2 linked regions of the Sus scrofa genome follow. The protein of the gene in region 2 purifies or fractionates together with the protein of the main gene of each other region. This does not show direct contact. Links are inferred from orthologs where the notes say so. Each region holds a gene or a part of one and is shown on either strand. Other genes may lie near its edges.

What was found. Proteins that work in one complex are often made in the same cells at the same time.
Region 1: the proteins of HSPB11 (region 2) and IFT22 purify together in Homo sapiens (affinity purification with mass spectrometry; 3 studies listed by BioGRID and IntAct, with this or other methods). This does not show direct contact. The link is inferred for Sus scrofa from reciprocal best matches to the Homo sapiens genes IFT25 and IFT22.

What each region holds. Positions count from the first base shown.
Region 1 is NC_010445.4:8,978,700-8,983,139, forward strand, and holds the start of IFT22 (intraflagellar transport protein 22 homolog), read right to left. Parts: upstream 2,937-4,440; 5' UTR 2,787-2,936; coding exon 2,748-2,786; intron 929-2,747; coding exon 852-928; intron 725-851; coding exon 635-724; intron 365-634; coding exon 162-364; intron 1-161. UniProt on the Homo sapiens protein: Small GTPase-like component of the intraflagellar transport (IFT) complex B.
Region 2 is NC_010448.4:158,355,669-158,359,316, forward strand, and holds part of HSPB11 (intraflagellar transport protein 25 homolog), read left to right. Parts: intron 1-1,195; coding exon 1,196-1,302; intron 1,303-2,871; coding exon 2,872-2,940; intron 2,941-3,648. UniProt on the Homo sapiens protein: Component of the IFT complex B required for sonic hedgehog/SHH signaling.

The DNA of each region.
Region 1 (4,440 bases), on a different chromosome or scaffold from region 2:
ACTCTAGCAATTCTGACTTTTGCAGTGAGAAAAACAAATGCATAGGATACAGTCAATGCTCACTAACTGCACGGAGCTGCTGGTTTCAAAGACACAGAGCAATATACAGATGCCCAGAGCATTTCAGACAAGAGTAGAAAGGAGAACCCCAAGCTCCTTACACAAAGTGGGGTTTCCTTTATCACTTCCGGAGCCTGGCTTATGGTGTGCAATTAACAGACACTGAGTATCCTGTAAAAACTGCTGCTGGACAAAGCAGGAATACCACATCTCAATTTCCGTCAGGTGGCTTGGGATGTCAGCGTTGAAGACGATCACCACCCCGTGAGAGTCCTTCATCAGAGCTGGCCAGCAAGACTCGAACCTGCGCAGCAGAAAAGGATGCGGGTGGAAGGGTAGGTGGTTCTGGTTTCTAATCGGGGACTTGAAAAATAATCTCTTAGTATGAATCACTGATGGATGACCTCTCACGGTATCATGACCCAGGCACTAAAGTCTCAAGAGCAATGTGTCAGTAATTGATCAAGCCCTAAACACATGCTATGAAGGGCGCCAGGCTCATGTTCAAGGTGTCTGGCGGGCAGGGGATTTCTGAATCACTTGAGGGAGCAAACATTCTTTAAGGGAAACGTACTTTGGGTCGCCGCCACAATCCCAGAGCTCAAATTCACAGCCGGTGCCTTTGTTGTTGCTGGTAACGTGAGGGTTCTCAAATTCCAGGATCCTAAAGATAAAAGCATGAGCGGCACCTTTCCTTAGGAAACGTCATACTTTGGGAACAGCACTGGCACCAAAGGTAGGGCTGGGTGACGGCTGCGGACTCTGTGGGACACAGGTTTGTCAGGGCTCACCTCACTCCTTGGGTTGGGTGGTATTCGGTAATGTCAGAAGATTCTGTCAGAAAGTTGGCCAATACGGTTTTCCCGCTCTGTGGAAATTAAGATAATAAATGATCTCTGTGGAAGAGGCGAATAGTGAACCATGAGCAAGTCCTCTAATGGCTGTCCTGGACCCAGTTGTGGTGGAGAAGAGGCCAGGCCACCCCAGACCACCTGGGTGGAGGGCTCTCCCCAGATGGGTGGGCACAGCCGCTCTGGGACCAGAGAGCACAGCCTTCAGTGCTGGCTCTGCTGCTGGGTGACTTTACCCACATCTATGTCCCCCGGCTGGCTTGCCCTGAAGCTCTAGATGAGAAAACAATTGTTATGTTGCTGCAGTCTTCCAAAGTAAGAAGATGTCTTAGTTTATTTAGGCATTCTCTGACTGATGGGCAGGTAGGGAGATTCCACCTGGTCACTGTTGTAAACAACTCAGGGGAACATGGGTGAGTCCTTAGATTTTGGGAAATGTAACTGCCACACTGAAAGCTATGCACATTTTAAATTTTAGTAACTTGATCTCCAAAAAAATCTGTTACCAATTTGTAGCGCCATCAATAGAATCCTAGAATACTCCTTTCCCTAAAATGCATCCCATACATCCTCGCATGGCACATCATCAGTCATCTAAACTTTTCTCATCCAAACTGCCAAGCAAATCAGTGTCATCTTTTTGTTTTGTGTTCCTGTGATTGTGAGGCTGAGCATCTTCTCATACTTACTGGTCAAGTCTATTTCTTGTGCACAGACTTTGCTAGATTATCTATTGAGCTGCTTCTCTTTTATTTACTCATTCTCAAACTTTCCTGTATGTTTGTTTTACCTATGAATCCTCGTTCTGTCATGCCTTTTTCTAATACTTTCCCCTGGCTTTAACTTTAATATTTCTTTTAAGGCTTCTTCATTTTTGTGTTGTTTTTAAGAAGACCTTCCCTGTCTCCAGATTCAAAACACATCTTTCGGAGTTCCCGTCGTGGTGCAGTGGTTAACGAATCTGACTAGGAACCATGAGGTTGCGGGTTCGGTCCCTGCCCTTGCTCAGTGGGTTAACAATCCGGCGTTGCCGTGAGCTGTAGTGTAGGTTGCAGACTCGGCTCGGATCCGCGTTTCTGTGGCTCTGGCGTAGGCCACTGGCTACAGCTCCGATTCAACCCCTAGCCTGGGAACCTCCATGTGCTTCGGGAGCAGCCCAAAGAAACAGCAAAAAGACAAAACAAACAAACAAACAAAAAAAACACATCTTTCCACATGTTCATCTACTATGGTGGTTCCTGGACAACCAGCATCAGCAAAAAATGCAAATTCTCAGGTCCCTCCCAGACCCACTGAATCATTAACTCTGGGATAGGATGGGCAAAGTGTGCTATTAACAAGACCACAAGGCAATTCTGATGCGTGCTGAAGTTGAAGAGTTATTCGTTTACTACTAACAAAATTGTTTTACACATTTATTCTTGTGTACGGTGTGAAGTACAAAGCTAGATTTAATCCCACTCCTCCCTCTCCCCGACTGCCACACACATTAAAAGCTAACTGTTCCACGACCACGTAATCGATAAGTTTTTCCTCCGTTTTTTTCTCACCCGGCAGACATATTTCATTAGGGATAGTCATGGGCGCAAAGGAGAGTCGTGAGATCTAGGTTCTGATTCCATAATGCCACTCACTACCTTGGGCCTTCAGGCCTTAGTACAACCGAGTCAAGGTCTGGGAGCCCCGAGTTCAAGGTGAAGCCAGCAGCTCACACCAGGGTGGGCGCGGTAGGACTGGGCTCCCGGCTCCTGTGGGGCTTTGGGCGCAAAACACGGCCGCTGGGGGCGACCCCGCGCTGGTCTGCCCGGCTTGCCGCCCCGCAGGCTCCGGCCTCACCTCGCAGGGCCCCACGAAGAGGATCTTGGCCTTCAGCATCGCCGTCCACCGTCTGCAGGCCCCCTGGAGCCCACCTGGGCGCTGCCCGAGTCAGAGTGGTCCTCAGGGCGGAGCTGAAGTCGCCGCGCTGGTTGGCTGCTTTCGTCCCCATGGAGACGGGAGCGGCCGCGGGGGCCGACGGGAGTGGGCGGGTTCCTACGGGGGCGGAGCTAGGCGCACCAAGGGCTCTGGTATCCTCTGCTGGCTCCCTGATGCACAACGTGAGCTTCGGATTGGAGGTGGGCGGCAAGGCAAAGGAAGAGGGTGGGAAGGAAACAAAAAATCCGGATCCATTTTTGATTCTGAGCAGTGGAGCCCGCAGAGCTCACCAATCTGGCATCACACTTTGCAGGGAGGAGGCGGAATGTGGATCCCCAATCTCCTTTACTCCGCCCTCTAACCCCAAAAGAGGTCAAACAGGCCAAACAGCAGGTGAGGTGGTGTTGGAACCAGCCTCTGACGCTTTTATCACTCTGGCATGATACTGCCCACCTTGGGAACGGAGTTATCCTATCCTTGGCCCAGTCTAGAAAAGGTCAGGGGAAAACGAGTCTCTAAATAGAGATTCACCCCTCACTGGCTTTTGGATAATCTGGGAGAAACGAAAAGGATTGTAATGCTTCGGCCTTGTTCGCTGTCAGTGCAGGTGTCTGAACGCATTGCTGTTAAATTCAGTCATTAGGGCAGCTTTAAATTACAGGGCCGGTACAGAATTTTGGGTGAGGCCTTGAAATTGTATCTGTGTGCCAAGCGTGCCAATACAAAATATGCTAGACCCCCCAGAATGCTAGCATAACGAAAATAAGTAAATAAATCCAATACCAAATCTTTGTTTGAATTGCAAAGAACTTTTTTGCAGTACAAACTGAACTGTAAGGAAGAGTCTGCCCCAACTTAAAGGTGTCGTTAATTGATAAATATCTTTTGAATGCCTGCTGTATACCAGGCACTCTTCTAGGTACTGAGGATGTGCCTGTACCTCTTGAGGCTTTCACTCCAGTGGAGTAGATGGATATTAAGTAAACAAGTTAACAACTTAGTCTCTGGTAGAGACAATTTTAGACGTTGGTAAGTGCTATGAATAAAAATAAATCACTGAAGAGGTGAGGAGTGTGAAGGAGCCAATTTTGGATGGTGTAGTGAAGGCAAGACCTTGCTGCAGAGGTGACATTAAAGGAGAAAGCTAAGGCGTTCCCAGCATGGCTTAGCGGAAATGAATCTGACTAGCATCCATAAGGACAAAGTTTCGATCCCTGTCCTCAGTCAGTGGGTTAAGGACCTGGCGTTGCTGAGCTGTGCTCACTCGCACATACCCAAAGCTAAGTGAAGAGAGGGCTCAAATTAACCATGTTAAGATCTAGGGGAAGAGCATTCCAGCAGAACAGCAGGGCAAAGATACTGAGGCGGAAATAAACTTGGCATATTCTGAAAACGGCACATAGGGCTGGTGACATGGGTGCAGGAAGAATAAGGGGATGGCAGGAAGTGCTGTTGGAGAGATTAAGTAAGACTTTGGAAGTGGATGCTAAGGGTAATTGGAAGCCTGTGCCAGGACTGTATTTGGCTATGTGTAATAGAAACTCCACCACAGCGACTTAACCAAATAAGAGATTGATTATTTTCTTACATAACAAGGAATCGAGGGATAGACATA
Region 2 (3,648 bases):
CCATATGCCACGGGCTTGACCCTAGAAAAGACAAAAAAAAAAAAAAAAAAAGAAAGAAAAAAAAGAAAACCTTTTCTTTTTAAAATTATATAATTATGTACTTATATAATGGTATAATTAAAATAGAAATATTATTTCTGTAGTCAATACTACATATATATGTAAAATTGTGCATAGTGCAAGACTAACATTGAATGCATGTATTAATTTGTTTCAACAAACATCTATTGTGTATCTACTATGGGTCAGCCATTGTGATAGTTACTGGCAATATAAAGATGAGGAACAGAGGAGTTCCCATCACGGTGCAGCAGAAACAAAACTGACTAGTATCCATGAGGTCACAGGTTCGGTCCCTGGCCTCACTCAGTAGGTTAAGGATCTGGTGTTGCTGTGAGTTGTGGTGTAGGTCACAGACGCAGTTTAGATTTGATGTTGCTGTGGCTGTGGTGTAGGCCGGCAGCTATAGCTCCGATTCCACCCCTAGCCTGGGAACTTCCATTTGCTGCCAGTGCAGCCCTAAAAAGACAAAAAAAAAAAAAAAAAAAAATGAGGAACAAAGTGACTGGACTTAAGGAGTATGTAGCTGGAGCAATAAAAACACAAGAAAAAAGTGCCATCGTAAAAATGGATGCTGTGTGTGAGGTGAATGCAAAGGAGGAATCAAGTTATTCTGATTTGTTGGAGTTGGAGAGATGGGACCAAAAAGTGAATAAACTTTTGCAAAGGAAGAAGGGCTTTTTAGGGCAAGAGAACCTCATAAACTAAGACACAGAAGCATGAGCCTGCATGATGTGTTTACAGAATTTTAATCTTGGTCCAATGTGACTAATGGGAGATGATATCATGTTGGGGGATGATATACTTTAATGATGGGACCAGATTGTCTGGGGTCGTAAAATGCCATACTAAGGAGTTTAGGTTTATAGGCAATAAGGGGTCACTACAGGCTTTTAGACAAGAGTGACATCAATTCTGGGTTTAAAAAATATATATATAATCTGGTAGTAGTAAAGAATGACTAAAGTTGGAGAGACATTAGTGGCAGAATGAACAGTTAGGGGTTGCAAAATCCAATGGTTGTTTTGGGGTTTTTGGTTTATTTTTTAAAATATTTATTCACTAGAATTTTATGATTAAACATTTCTAAACATTTGGCTCCACTTTTCTTTTTTTTCTTTAAAATCAACAATAGAAATCCAGAAACATTTTGGACCACCACAGGGATGTTTCCCCAAGAGTTCATTATTTGTTTTCACAAACACGTAAGGATTGAAAGGCTTGTAATCCAGAGTTACTTTGGTAAGCATATCATGTTTTCATTTCATTTCATTAATTTTCATCACCTTTCAGTTTTTCCATAGGCAGAAGGCACATATGTAAACTTTTGGCAAAAAGACTAATTTTTTTTTATACCATGGAATCCAGTTTTATTGCTGGGGTCAATGGGTGGAGAGTGTGGGTTGACTGCCTGGAGCACAGTTAGCCTCTCTGAAACGGCAAATTTGAAACCCTTCCAAAGCACGTAATAATTTCCATGCAATTTGCTATGTGAAAGCCTTTGGCAAAAGACCCTGTTATGAACATAAGAAGCCAGCTTGCCAGAACACTCGGTTTCTTGATGTCATTATTCCTGATTCTTTTGGCCAGGGTTCTCTGTCACATTCTTTCTGAAAATCTGATAACCCTGATTATTTGCATTTGGTAATTTTGATTCTTTTATTAATAATGGCGTTTTCTGAGAGATTTGGGAGAAGTCTCTCCCACTGGAACATCATCCTAATCTTGTCTTATGTTTATTTAAGGATAAAGTGTGTTAGAATCATGGCACGAAACACGATACATCCCAGATGGCTCAAATGAAGAGACGTTAGTTATTGCGAGGACTACTTACAAAATTATGGCCTGGGTTAAGGGAACAAACTAGGGCTGGTGAGACACCCGAAACTGACTACAGCAGTAAGCCACTACCTCCCCTGGGCCGAGGGAAGGAAAAGTACTGCTGGAGCTCAGTGAGAGCTAGAGTCTGTGCCTGAGGGCCTGCCTTTTAGGAGCTGTAACCAGAAGGGACATAACCCCTGTCAAAGACCCAGCACTGAAGTGGGAAGGGAGTGGAGAAAATACAACCCAACCTCACTTCTCCCCGCCCTCCAGTTTCTAGTCAGTGCCTGCAGTTGGCCAGATCTGGCCACTGGGCAGTGGGCAAATGAGTCCAGGGGACGCAGTCCCCAGCAGTCTTTCTCCCAGGTCACAGAACAGAGAAGGGGAAGAAAGGATGTGGGGCAAGAGGAGCTGGCCTAGGAGTAAGCGAAAAACCAGTGCAGCAGGAAAATGACTGTATTCTCTCTTCTGTCATTACTTGTAAAGGCTCTGGACTCATAGCTAAAGTTTGCGTTCCAGTTCTGGCTGACTAACTCTGTATCACTGAACACCTTGCCTGACTTCTCTAAGTTGCCTGATTTCTTTAGGCCTGTTTCCTCATCCTAAGATTGAAGTCCAGTGAATAAATAAATATATCTGACTCATAGTAGTTTTTCCATAAAAGTTTATGACCGAGACCACTGATGTATTATTATCTACCAGTATGCCAAAAAAAAGATGATATCAAATTCTGAAAGGCTATATACTAGCTTTGTGTTTTGTGCCTGCAAATATTTGCAAGATTGCAGTTACACAGACTGTATTTTACATAGAGACTTATGGAAAAACAGAGAGGCTGAGTGATTCTCATAATGTGGTGGTCCTGATCCCAGTACTTTATGCAGTATCACCCATGCTGAAGTCTTAGAGGAAAAAAGGACTATGGGGACAACAACATAAAACCGGGTAGATAATGAACACTTTATTTGTTTTGTTTATTTACATTATCAGTGCAGACCTTGAGGATTGAAAAGAGCACTTCTAAAGATCCGGTGGATTTTGAGCAGTGGATTGAAAGAGGTATGTGCTTGTTTTACCAGCATTGTTCTGATCATCAGGGAGTAGAGAATTGCCCTCTCCTGTCTAATCGGGCTACATTTTGGTAAAGATGACTTGAATGATTGTTGTGACATATTTAGGGCACAGAAAAACCCAGGTTTGAAAACGGATTCTTCTTCCCTTACTGGTTATATGATTGTTAATGTGATACTTAATTTTTCTGAGTTTTAGAATCCTTATCTGAAAAACAGAGATGATCCTACCATTTAAAGTTTTCATGAACACAGTGTCTGATAAATGGTAGACGAACAATAAATATTACTTTTTCATCTTTCCTTCCTTCCTGATTAATGGTGCTATTTGAATATCAGCAAAATTGGTAGCCTCTAGTTAAACACAACAGATTGACCTCGTGTGTCTATCTCCTTTTCTTCCCCAAATACCGTGAAAATAATAAAGGAATAAAGAGAAGCGTAAACCTGTAAGGAAAAAAAATAAAAACAAACAAAAAACCAGGAGACCAAAGCAAATATAGGAGATCAATGTATATTATGGAAGAGGAGTTCCTGTTGTGGCTCAGTGGGTTAAGAACCTGACATAGTGTCCATGAAGATGTGGGTTCCATCCCTGGCCTTTCTCATTGGGTTAAGGATCTGGCATTGCCACAAGCTGCAGCATAGGTCACAGATGCAGCTCAGATCTGGCATTACTGTGGCTGTGGTGTAGGCC